2 linked regions of the Arabidopsis thaliana genome follow. The protein of the gene in region 1 interacts with the protein of each later gene in a pairwise test. Each region holds a gene or a part of one and is shown in the gene's direction. Other genes may lie near its edges. The genes, in order: AT1G52695 and AT1G23100.

Region 1 (7,741 bases):
GACAAACAAAAACAAATACTATAAAATGACAAATTCTGATTTTGTTTTAATAGATTTTTATATCATCTTTTGTTAACATTATCTGAATTAGTTAAGGTGCTATTTAATTTAGGGAAAAGTTTAAAATTAGATAAGAAATATTATATTGTACCAACTACATTTAAACAAAACTAATTAATCATCCAAAGATACAAGTTATAAAACCTTTAATAACAATTTTGATGAAGTGTCAATTATCCTATAGAGGGGGGGGGGGGGGGGGGGGGGGGTTCCCCCTTCGAGTATGATCTATAGATTATTAGATTATGTTACACCCAAATCTGTTTTCTGTTGTTGTGGTTGCGCTTTTCATTTTGTAAGCCAATTAGACAATTACTAAATCAACAAAATATTAGTAATTTTAAAAAATAGATTATGCCTCCATTAATTAAATTGTATTTCACCCAATTAGTATATGATTTTTGCCATCCACCCAACTTTTTAAGGATGAGATTTTGTCAACTTTTAATACTAAGATATTTTATGTCATAAGGCTCCTTTGGTGCTTTAACAAAAAAGAAAGAAAGGAAACACTCATTTCTATTATAAATACACAATACCTTCCCTTGCTTTCTCTTATATCTTTCATCTCTAGTGCAAGTTAAAAACTAGTTCTTCTCACCAAAGCATGGCTTCTAGTATGATTTATTTTCCTTGGTGTAATTGTTTATGTTTCTTCCATAGTTATCTAAGTGTTTGACAATTCTGTAATATGGTTTATGTGTGGAACTCATTAGTGAATTTGCGTATAAATAACTCTTTAAACAGGTAGTAGGAACCAAAGTGGCAGAAAAGTTGGAGAAACTATTTATTACTCTATTCCGCCCACAGGAGTTCATAAAGCCACAATAGTCTGGCTACATGATGTCGGATTCACAGGCCACTGGTAACACTCTCGCGCACATAGTATATATTGTATCTGTTTATTACACACATGATTTGGACGTACTACAACTTTAACTCTTTTCTTGGGTTCTTTTTTTTTTACTAATAATTTGAATCTTGTAGTTCCGCAAATACTTAATTAACCGCTCTATGGTTTTGATCTTTTGTTTGTATATAAATTTTGTAGCGCTGCCAAGAAATGATATTGAGTTCATTTCACTAAAGTTTTATATTTACATTATTATTATTATTACTAAACAAAATGTAATTATTCTCCCTATATATATATATATATGTCTATTATATATGCAGCTCAGTTCCGGCTCTCGAAAGTTTGAGACATCCCAATGTATGGATCTGTTAACATACATGTTTCGCCATGCATGAACTTGATTTCCTTATAGCCAAAATTTAATTTTTTAATTGAAGTTTCTAATCAACATTTATGATTTGGCATAGATAAAATGGATTGTCCCGACTGCTCCTATGCGTCCCGTTACCTCCATAGGCGGGGAGGTAACCACTGCATGTAAGATTAGTTGTTGCTTAAAATTTCAATTGCCAAAAATGATTTGATGTAATAATAGGAATACGAGAACTGAAAACTACTAACATGTTATTTATAAAACCTTTATGATTAATCAGGGTGCGACATGACAAAACCTTCTGAGAACATGCTAGATGATTTTGAAAATTTAAATTATACAAACTCATTTATTACGAGCCTTTTCTCTTCTGAACCAGACCATGGTAATTTCTAAATAATCACTTCTTTTATAAATACACAATTATTTGATTAATATGTTAATTTTGGTTTTGGTAGTTATGAAAGGAGTAGGAGGAATCGGCTTGGGTGCAGCACAAGCTCTATATTATACGAGTTGTTATGCGTTTGGATGGGTTCCCATTAGCCCACAAATTGTTATAAGGATCAATGGTTGGCTTCCTGGCTGGAGGTAGCCTTTTCGAGCTCTTAGTATCACTTTTCACAAATTTTTAAAACTAATAATAATGGAAAACAAAACTCAATCTTGCAGGAGATTAGAATACAATATGTGTAACACTAATTTTGGGACTGCAAATCGTGCTGCAACATCAAATATTTTACTTATGCATGGGACTTGTATGTGAAACAAGTTAAATATAATAGTATTAGATAATAATTGCGATATCATACAAAATAATTAATTCTTTCATATCTTTTTTTGTTATAGCTGATGATGTTATTCCCTCTGCATTTGGATACAAATGTGCTGACTCCCTTCGAATGGCTGGATTTCCAACCTTGTTCAAACAATGCGGAGGGTCTAAACAACGATTACTTTACTTTGTTTTGATTTGATTACAATTTTCATAACACATATTTCTGAATCTGAGTTATACCATGTGTGCAGGGATCATGTAATGAATGAGATCCGTGTTTGGCTCGGAAACCTTGGGCTTTGAGGATATGGTTAAAACATGCATAAAGAAATCAAGAAATTGGGGAGCAAAATTATCGTACAATATATTATAAAATATTTTATTTTAGCTTTTCATTTTTATGTCTATGCTATTCATAATCAATATTTAATGTAATGTTCGTTCGAAAAAAATTATATTTATATGGTCATTTGGTTAAATAAATAAACATGATGATGCGTCGAACTGCTGAATATATATATATATATATATATGTATCATTATAACATATTATTTGAGATTGCAAATAATTACATTTCCTTTATGATGATAACATATTATTTGAGATTGCACACAATTAACATCACAATTCACAATTCTCTCTCTTTTTGGTATACGTTTTCAACATGTATATTTTTCCGTTTTTTTTTTAAATAGCTTATGTATTTCTAAACGCTTTTAAAATATATATATATATATATATATATATATATTAATAAATTCAAATGGGAGAGTTACACACATTAAAAGCTGATGAGAGAGACCTCAATTTAGTTTAAAGGATTAATTGATGACAGGTTCTTTTTCATAAAATGTATTTAAGTTTTCTCATGTGTCAAACTTATAATTATTGATATTAAATCAATTTAGGTTAATATTTCTTGAAAACAAGCAAGTGACTTGGTGGCCTTATTATATTTATATGTGTTTTAATTAATGTTTCCCCAAAAATAAATAAAAATTAACACAAAAAGACGGATTTAGATTTATTAAGATTTTTATATTATATTTTACATACTTTATTAACATTATATCTGAATTATTCAAGGTGCCATTTATTTTAGGTAACAATTTCTAATTAGATAATAAAAATTAATTTATATGAAATAGATTTAAACAAAACTAATTAGTCATTATAAAGTTATAAACTTATAAAACCTTAAAAATAATTTTGATGAGGTGTCAATTTGCCTATAGAGTTTTTTCTTTTCTTTTATTCATAGGATATATAGATGATTGAATTATGTTCCACCTATATATGTTTTAGCTTTTTGCGCTTTTGATTTTGTAAACCAATTAAACATGCAAATACTAAATAAACAAAATATATTATTAAATGTTTTAACTAAATTATGCTTCCAATGAAACTTTTTTATGAAGATTAGTTCTAACTAAATTGTGTTCCACCAAATTTAGTATAGGATTTCTGCCATCTATCCAACTTTTTTAAAGGTGTGATTTTGTCAAATTTTAATACTTAGAGATCTTTTCTGTCATAAAGCTCCTTTGTTTTACAGAAAAAAAGAAGAAGGAAATACTCATTTCTTTTATAAATACGCAATGTCTTGGGTTTCCTTCTCTTCTATCTTTCATCTCTAGTGCAAGTTAAAACCTTCCGAAATAATAATATAAAAAAAAAAAATATTCTCATTAGAGCATGGCTTCTGGTTTGGTTTTTTTCCTCCTTGTGATTATTATCAAAATCGTTTGATAATATTCTCTCAAATATATACTCTCTATGTGTGTGGAACGTAACTCATTAGTGAATTTACGGATAATTACTGTATATGCAGGTAGCATAAACGTAAGTGGCTTGGAATTTGGACAGATTAATACTGTTTACCCCACAGGAATTCATAAAGCTACTATAGTCTGGCTACATGACGTAGGAAACACAGGCTTCAAGTAACATTCTCACATGCTATATTGTTTATCGTTATATATGCTCTTTTGTTTTGAACAATCAAAGATTCTCATTAAAATTAGAAATATGATTTGGAAGTACTTCAACTTTTAAGTTTTTTGTTATTAAACATAAAAATAGATATATACGTACTTTTAAAGTCTTTTAATATGTGAAAAGTTGATTTTTGCCATGATATGCAAATACTAATTTTGTCAGTTCAACATTTTTTTGGATGAACATTTCTTTGTATATATAAAGGTTATGGCGCTGCAAAGAATAATGATTTTTCTCTATTATTTTACATTCCTCTGAACTTTTATTTTCTTGTAAGATATTGAGTTCATTTCACTAAAATTTTACAATATATACATTTTTTTTTTTTTTTTGTATTCGCAATAGACTTCCCATTATATGTATTTTTAACTGTCTATTATGACTGCAGCTCACTTGAGCCTCTGCAAAATTTGCGTCTTCCCAATGTACGCATCCACTAACATACGTATCTTTAATGAACTTAATTTCTTTATAGCCAAAATGAAAACTTAGCTGAAGTTTCTAATCAACACTTATGATTTGGTGTAGATAAAATGGATTTGTCCGACTGCTCCTAGACGTCGTGTTACTTCCTTGGGTGGAGAGATAACCAATGCATGTAAGATTAGCTAGATTAAAAATTTGGAGACATTAAATCATTGAAAATTAATAAGTATTTGATATCTCTAAAATAGTACCAGAATTAGAAAACTAATACTTGACTTCATAAACCTCTATGATGAATCAGGGTGCGACATCGCAAAAGTTTCTGAGAACATGCAAGATGATTTTGGAACTTTAAATTATGTAAATGAATATATTACTAGCCTTTTCTCTAATGAACCACAAAATGGTAATCCTGAAAATATCTACACTTTTTTTTTGGTGATCAAATATATCTACAATTAACATGCATAGTTTATACTATCTACATCAATTATAAATATACACATATATGATTAATTAAGTAATCTGTTAATGTTGGTTTTGGTAGTCATAAAAGGAGTGGCAGGTCTCGGCTTGGGTGCAGCACAAGCTCTTTATTATACGAGTTGTTATGCCTTTGGATGGGTTCCCATAAACCCACAAATTGTTATAGGGATCAATGGTTGGCTTCCTGGCTGGAGGTAGGATCTTGAAGCTCTTATATCACTAGTCACAAAATTTTAAAACTTATATTACATGTACCTTTAAATAATGGAAAATCAAACTCAATTTTGCAGGAGATTAGAATACAATATGAATAATACTAATTTTGGGACCGCAAATCGTGCTGCAGCATCAAAAATCTTAATTCTGCATGGAACGTGTATGTGCAAGAATATATATTATCATCTATATATCTAATTTGTTATCTAGATATATAAGAATCACGAGATCATATATGCTAAAATTTTGTTTTTGTTTTTGCAATAAAGATCCTTGCTAATTAATTATTGAATTTTTTTGTGTCACAGCTGATGATGTAGTTCCCTCTTCATTCGGATACAGATGTGCTGACTCCCTTCGCATGGCTGGATTTCCAACCTTGTTCAAACAATGTGGAGGGTCTAAACATCGATTACTTCACTCTTTTTTTTTTTTTTTTGATTACTATTTTCTTAACATACATCACTGAATTTGAGTTATATACCATGTGTGCAGGGATCATGTAATTAATGAGATCCGTGTCTGGCTCACAAACCTTGGGCTTTGAGGATATGGTTAATTTCTGCATAAAGAAAACAAATGGGGAGCAAAACTATTATCGTACAATATAATAAAGTGTTTAGTTTTGAGCTTTCGTTTTTTGTCTTTGTTATTCATAATCAATAGTTAATGTATTATTCTTCGTTCGAAACCGTTAAAAAGGTGAATTATATTTCTCCATTATATATCTTAGTAAAACAATTTCCTTATCTGACCAGCAAATTCTCAAGGAATCAAAATTGCTTCGGAAATCCTAATACTGGTATGCATAAATCAAATTAACTTTCAAACAAAACTTTGTGAAATTTCCTGAAGTAACAGTATTGAAAACCGTTACCCCCATACGAACGTTACAGAGAAAACTATTTTTTAAAGAAATGATTGAATAAATAATTGAGAAGTAACAGGAATATGTTTTAGTCAAGTGAATAGTGATTAAATTTGACTCCGTCTTCCAGAGTTTGACTCTGTTAAAACGTAATAGAGATGGACTAATAAATTAGGTCGAAAGATGTAAAATAAAATAAAAATAAAAAAAAGTAACGAAAACAAGTGCATGTTGCGAAAATTTATGATGTAAATGTCTTCGTATTAGGCAAAGTTTAAAACGAAAACTTTATAAAATACCAATTATGTAATTTCCGTACTAATCACCCGAAATAACTAGTGTCCAATTTATAAAAGAAAACCATTACATGATAATACGTAGAAGTACATTCAAACCCAATAAACAACAACAAGGATCGGCATAACCTCACGAACGCAACAAACACTAATCAAAGCAAACAAACATGAAAACCACGAACACGAAACAAATATTTATCCTCTTCACTTCCTCTGTGTCTCACGAGTAGTGGTCGTAGTAGTAGTACTTGGAGCTGAAGAAACATGTTCTTTGTTTCCTTCATCAGTGCGAAGCCCTAAAGTGTGCTTCACCGCATCAGTAGCTCCCATAGCCATCTGTTTCACCTGCTCACCGGTCTGGCCCAAGATCCCACTGGTCTTCTCCTTACCTGCTTCTGCAGTCTCTTTGGTATATTCAGCTGCATCGTGTGCCTTGTTCTTGATTGCTTCTCCAGTTTCCGACATGTAGCTTCCTGTCTTGTCTTTGGACTCTTGAGCTCTCTCTTGAGTCGTTTGTGCAGCTTGAGACGTCTTGTCTTTAGCTGACTGAGCTGTTTCATGAGCCTTTTGTTGGGCTGACTGGGCTGTCTCTTGAGTTTTGTCCTTAGCTGCTTGTGTTTTGTCCCCCATCGTTCCCATAGCTTCCCCAGTTTTCTCCTACAGTTCAAGATTGGATTTACATTATAAAAAATACTAATCAGCTTTTTTTTTTTTTTTCTAAAATCAAATAACACGAAACATCACAAAATTGAAAATAATAACTTTCAAACTCATTTTTGTTTTTTCACATACAAACAATAGTTACTTTTTAGGTTTTGTTTAAGTTTCTAAAATTAAATCATTTAATGCTGCTATCCAAAATGTATTATAGTTATGCATATAAATCGTTTAGTACCTGAGCCTTGCCTCTGGTTTCACCAGCTTTGTAACTCTGTTCTTGATGAGACGCCATTTTCACTCTTCGAAGAAATTCGAAACCAAATTTTTCTAAATGATAAAAGCTTTTTTTTTTAGATCTTGTGTTTTTTGTGTGTTTGGAACTGTGAGTTGTCTCCGACTCGTTAGTCAGAGTTATTTATAGCAAGTCTTGGTCGGCGAGAGAACAAGATAGGTGTTGCAGTTTCGCGACAGGTGTGTAGGTACGTGCCCCGATTAGGTTGATGTGACGAAGTTTCGAAACTTGGAGTTATGTGCGAGTGTTAAAGTTAGGTTTCTCGTTTTCATGATGACCTATATCTATGTGACACGTCATGGTAAAAACGGAGCTACGGAAGATGTTAGACACGTGGTGACTCACGTTATCTTGATATTGGATATTCATCTACTCAAGGCATATATTATGCAACCGCCATTACTGCATAGATATTTACTTTTTTCTAAAAA
Region 2 (6,158 bases), about 11 Mb from region 1:
ACGTTGTCTTGGTTGGGTGCGAAACAAATCATTGTGTGAAAGAGAGAATAACTGAAAAATGAGAATGATCTATGAAAACGTGAACCACGTCACATGGGAGGGCAGTGAACACGAAGTCAAATAATACAAGTAAATGAATATTATAAATGGTATGGATACTGGTAGGCCAAATCGAATTAAAATATTGAAAAAGAATATCATAAGAAAGAAACAAAAGGGAAAAGTAACGGGACATGAATGGAGTTATTCATAGAAAAAGGATCTGATACCCAACTCTTTTGGAATGTATGCACATTGCGCACTTGTTAATGTATTCGCGTGGCTCTATTTTGTTGACCCATCTATCCACATTTTTGAGTTTAAATTTTCTTGATATATTATAGGTTTGATTCTAAAAATTAGGTATAAGAAATTAGAGGTTTTTCATATTTTTATAAGCTGCGAATTAAACCATAATTAAATTAGTGTTAATGATATAAATATTAGCTCAAAGATACATAAAATGTTCATGTATGTAATGAATAAAAAAAATTGCATTTAACAACCCATGTTTCAGACATGACATGACACATGAATCTCTTGGCTTTCCACTAGACAAGTCATCGACTTTTTTAGGAATCTATAGTATTCGAATTTAATAATATATAGAGAAATAAGGAGATCATCTTGTATAGTGCAATCAATAAAGATATTTTATAGTGGTCACAAATTACCTTAATTTTTTTAAATAACACTAATTTAGAAAAGGATGTATATCTATTCAAAACTCTAAACTTAGGGTTTCACATGGTGATTTAGGAATGCACACAAAAATTAGGCACATAAAGAGCCTGAAATTTCTTGCGTTGAGAAAACGAGAAGTAGAAAATGAAACTTATTCACGTTGTTTTACCTTGACTGGACCCAATAAATATTTGTTGAATGACCACACTAAAAGACGACGTAAAAACCACCCTATTAACCGTACTGCATTGCTAGCTTGTAGAGTCGTAGACCATATAACATATAATGACAAAAACAAATTTTTAACCTCTTTGTTTTTAATTGTCAAACTAACAAAGTGTAGCTTAGAATCTAATTAGCAGAATATATATATATATATATATATATATATACATCATTTTACAAAATTATGCATTCAACATAATAAATTAGTAATAGCAATTATTAATGAAAATAAATTAGAATAATATATAGACAAGATGGTAAATTAATGTTTAGTAATAAACTAAATAAATGGATAGAGTTTCACAACCAGTCAAACTCAATCTTCTTAATTATATAAGAAGAAGAAAGAAGGCTAATTATGATGGAATGGCCATTTTTGAATGATTCAACTGGGTTTATATATATTTGTATAGGCATATAGCCAATGCTTTTTTTGATAACTTTTGAGCTAAAGGTGATAGATATTTGATAATTTGCTTGGCATATTAGCACATGTAAGAAGATAATCAAAATGTTGAATTAAATTTTGAAGGAAAATGAGAAGGTGGGACAAAGGCGGCAAATGTCGAATGAGACAATGTGTTATCTTAAGTCTGAATTAACGCTGATTAGCAAATATTCAAATAAGTGTGAAAAAAGGAAGAGGTCAATATCCATTTCCTTGCAAGTTGCAACCATACAATCTGACCGGTGTGACCCAATTGTCCAATAGTAAAATATATAGGTCCCTAAAAATAATAATGCGACTTGAGATAGTGACGACTGACAAGAACGGTCCTCCGATTTTATTATTTCAACCTTCTTTCAACCCCTATTCGGAACCAACTTGATAGTACATCAAACCACTTATACGGATTTGTCTTTGATATGTTTTTTTGGTTTTTGCATTATCGTGATGTGTTGATGCAATTTTGGTTTTTGTTTGTTAGCATCACGTTCTTATCTTCATGAAAATATACGTAACTGTGACCGAAAAGAGCTGTACGTGGGTTTCATCCAAAATGTGATCAAGTCCTAACACTTTTTTTCTTTCTTTTTTTCTGTTGTTGACTTCTACTATAGAACATTATACTTAAGAATTTAGATGCTGTATTTTTCTTTTCATATCTTCTACTACATATAAACTGTACATATACAACCTAAATCGTCAAACCAATCTACCCACAATCATAACAAATAAGCACGAACTCAAATGGTCTTAAGTGAAACATGACATAGACTTATATACTAGCGTGGCACCTCAAGAAAGAACTTCAAACCCACCAATGATTAAAACTTGGCTCTTGTCCTATTAGGCTTCGTGAATGATCTCCTCCTAATCTTCCAAAGTAAAAAGGTCGGTGCACGATGCAAGGCTTGTAATGTTCTCTTTGAATTTATGGTGAGATTCGATACGATGTTAGTGTCAAGATCCCCTTTTTTCTTTTAGACTCTTGCTTGGATGATAATTAAGGTGAATATTTATGCTATAGTGCCTATCCATTTCTTCATCATTGTCACGAGATCTAAAACCCATACTTATTATACTTTAGGGACCTCCTAAAAGACACATTGAGCTTTTGATCGCGTGTTGCTTTGTTATCATCTTTGCCCACTTTAGGGACCTCCAAGTGTCAGAATTTTTCTTTTGAATAGTTAGAGGTTTCTTATCAAAACAAAAAAACAAGAATAGTTAGAGGTTTTGACCCCAAAAGAGAAAGAATAGTTAGAGGTAGGGACATTCAATACAATTTTTCGTTTAAGCTCTTTAGTTTTGAAATTTCAAGATGGATATAAAGTTGAATGTACTTTTGGATAAGTTTAACACGGTTTGGATTTTTTCGTTTCAATATTTTTGAATCATTATTTTCCAATTGGTTGTCAATTCATTTAATTTAGAGCTGACCTAGAGATATCACTATGTAATAAAGTAATTGTTCTATTCAAAATTGTTAGCTCAAACCTATGTGGTCTAAAATGTTTTGCATACGTGCATTATTTTTCCACAAACTTTTCCATCGATTTAGACATCAATGGTCTGCTGAATGTTGACGACATCTAGTTTTATATTTGTATTCAATGTCTATTTTTTGAAACGAACCCGCAACCACAACATTGAGTATTCGAAGTATTTTTTTTTTAACTGTAAACCCAAACGCAAAACTCATGAAATATTTTTACCGGCTGAGCAAACTATTATCCATATTTAAATAAATTTTAGATGTTGAGAGCTGATCTCGGATTGCGTCACTAATGGCAACAATGATTTACACTTTCACGTTTGGGAGCTTCAATTGGCAATCGAATAAGCTTGACTCTTTGTAGTTCAGTATGGAGATACAAAAACAGTTATATTTTGCTAGTCAAGCAAGTTCCACAAAATAAGCTTTTTGTATCTCCGACTTAATATTTTCACGTTTGGGAGCTCAAACCTATGTCTTCTTCCGCCAAGGCATGTTCCTACCATTGATTATATTTTGTTTTGTGGCTTTCTTTTGTAATATGATCATTTTCGTAAATTTCGATTTTTGTTATCTATTCGTAGTGTCTCCGTTTTTCTTATAAAAAGAACAAAAATGGAAGATTATAAAAAAATGAAGTGGTTTTATGATATGACGTGATGTTTAGTAAAATAACGTTTTATCGAACGGTTTCACAAACACATTGTACATAAATTACTGAACGAGAAATGTTATTTGTCTACATCACGAGTAAAACTTTAATGCATGTCAATACCATTGACCTAATTAATGAAAAATGTTGAATTAATTAATGCATATACCCTACTTTTTATTAACATGAAACGAGTCAAATAAAAAGGGATTGACTCAATAATTTTAGAAATACTGAATGGGCCTGGGCCACGTAAAGTCCAAGTAACCTTAATAACCTAAAAACCCGGAACACCTGTTGTGCTTAAACCCTAGACCCTAAATCTTAGCGAAATTAAGCAGAGCAACATTTTCGTAATCCGATCTCCGTCGTCGTCGTCGAATCAGATAAAAATGGCGAAGCGTTTGATCCCGACTCTCAACCGTGTATTGGTGGAGAAGATTCTCCCACCGTCAAAGACCGTCTCCGGCATTCTCCTACCGGAGAAATCATCTCAGGTAAACGAATTTCTTTAAAATTCTCATCTTTACCCATTTCTTCGATTGGACGAACTAGAAATTTGTTGGATTTGATTAAACACAGTTGAATTCCGGGAGAGTTATAGCAGTTGGTCCTGGAGCTAGAGACAGAGCAGGGAATCTAATTCCGGTTTCGGTTAAGGAAGGAGACAATGTTCTTTTGCCTGAATTTGGCGGTACTCAAGTTAAGCTTGGAGAGAAAGAGTATGTTCTTAACCTGTTCGATGTAATTCCTCTAAGAGTGAAATTTATCAGTATTTTCGATTTCTCACTGTGTGTTTCGTTCTCTTTGCAGGTTCCTATTGTATAGGGATGAAGATATCATGGCTACACTTCACGAGTGATGTGTTAAAGAGATAGAATTTATGATTCCTCTTTGTTTTGTTGTCTGCAATTGTCTGACATTTGGATCAATTGTTATGATTGTTCTTCACTGTTGGCAACAAGTTCTTATAATTCAATAATCTCTTTTGTTTGGGAATGATGATGATCTACTTCTTACATAGAGATTACTGACTATAAGTCTAGAAATGCTTCTTAGTAATGTCGACTGATTAGGAGAAACAGAGAAACCATTTGTTTCACTGTTCTAAGAATAGCAATTTTGGAAATGATCTACTCAAGAAGTTTATTGCATGTTCCAACTCCAATGGCTGCAGCGAGGTGCCAGCCTGCGTGAAGGAAAGGTGTCTCGGGGAAGAAATCATCAGCTATGAACAGAGCACCTCCTAGCAAGGAAGACATCTTGTGTACGTTATGAGCTGTTTTGAGATCTGGATCCTTTAAGCTTCTTTTAGCAAATGCGACCTCCATCATTCCAGTGTGAACGGCAGAGACCATGAGAGGTTGAAAAGGTAGAACTAAAGCTGATGCAGCCATCAGAAATTTTGGGTTCTCATTCCTTAGAGCCCTTGAGAGACACTGTCCACATAACCAGATTTAATCGGTTATATTTGGTTAAAGAAGAATTTGGAGATGGGTTAAGAAGAGTGGAACTTACTATTGTTGTTGTGGCTATCATTGTGTAATCTACCCATCTCAGGTACTTCCTCAACTTTCCCCTAGAGGCATGATACAGACTCGACGCAATTCCAACTCCAATTAGGGAGTTTGCGTACACCTTTGTGTTCAGATTCTTCCTACATGGGATAGTATCTTGTCAGAGAAACTCTACTTGAAATGATATTTGCAAAGAGAACATTTTACCTTGGTGCCTGCATTCCGAGGAAGATGAAAGGAAGTGAAGTAGCCACATTAGCAGCTGTTTCTAAGACACTCTGGTCACCTGTCATATGTTTCGATTGCATAATAAAAAGACCGATCAACCATCTTGAGATTGGAAAGATAAAAGATCGAAAACAAGAAGCGTACCGCGAATGCTGCAACAGATTGGCCTTAAGCATGGAGGTCTTTGCTGCCAAAAACGTCTGTAACAGAGAAACTAAATCAGTAACTGAAACCGTTTCAAAAGCTGAGAATGTCACAACCTAATGTTATGTAACATACTCGATGGAAAGTCTTTGATTTGATTCCATGACAGAGGATTTGGTGTTGGTCTGAAAGTCACTAACTTGAGTTGTCTTCTCAAATGAGAAAGGAGAATGAGACGTGACATGAACCCCGTGGATACCCTCAAGGGCATTGCTCGACTTTGATACATTTTGCAGACTCATGGTAATCTTGCTAAACCACAGACAACCAACATTTATCTATACGCCACCAGAATAATCAAACTACTTTGTTGTCTCCCTTGTTCTGTTCTGATGACAAAAATAAAAATGTATTCATAAATTAAACCATAATAATTGGTCATACATGTGTTTTCCAGAGAGAAATATTGGTTACAAGTCAACACCTAAAATTTGATTGCTGCATGATATGCTGAATTATCAATGACCAGAATTGTATCTGCTTTTTCTCTTTTCCATTTCGTATGAATTTTATGTGAATAAGGGCCACAAAGCATATAGCGTTTCGATAAAATTCAACGGAAAAGCTAAGAAGAAGCAAACACACATAGCTATATTACAGAAAATGATTGCATAGAAAACATGCAAACCTATAGAGAAAGATAGAACCTGAAGCAATGGCCGTAAAAAC

What was found.
Region 2: the proteins of AT1G52695 (region 1) and AT1G23100 interact in a two-hybrid assay, tested with the Arabidopsis thaliana proteins (one large-scale study listed by BioGRID).

Annotation. Positions count from the first base shown.
Region 1 is NC_003070.9:19,619,411-19,627,151, reverse strand, and holds AT1G52695 (alpha/beta-Hydrolases superfamily protein), read left to right. Parts: upstream 1-3,690; 5' UTR 3,691-3,763; coding exon 3,764-3,773; intron 3,774-3,899; coding exon 3,900-4,011; intron 4,012-4,454; coding exon 4,455-4,491; intron 4,492-4,594; coding exon 4,595-4,664; intron 4,665-4,793; coding exon 4,794-4,898; intron 4,899-5,039; coding exon 5,040-5,172; intron 5,173-5,268; coding exon 5,269-5,354; intron 5,355-5,502; coding exon 5,503-5,593; intron 5,594-5,617; exon of another isoform or gene 5,618-5,638; intron 5,639-5,689; coding exon 5,690-5,741; 3' UTR 5,742-5,914; downstream 5,915-7,741. Other genes in the region: LEA7 (Late embryogenesis abundant protein (LEA) family protein), read right to left, coding at 6,563-7,015, 7,254-7,310.
Region 2 is NC_003070.9:8,191,935-8,198,092, forward strand, and holds AT1G23100 (GroES-like family protein), read left to right. Parts: upstream 1-3,841; 5' UTR 3,842-3,932; coding exon 3,933-4,037; intron 4,038-4,122; coding exon 4,123-4,262; intron 4,263-4,353; coding exon 4,354-4,402; 3' UTR 4,403-4,541; downstream 4,542-6,158. Other genes in the region: AT1G23110 (fold protein), read right to left, coding at 4,674-4,979, 5,059-5,197, 5,265-5,343, 5,430-5,485, 5,565-5,731.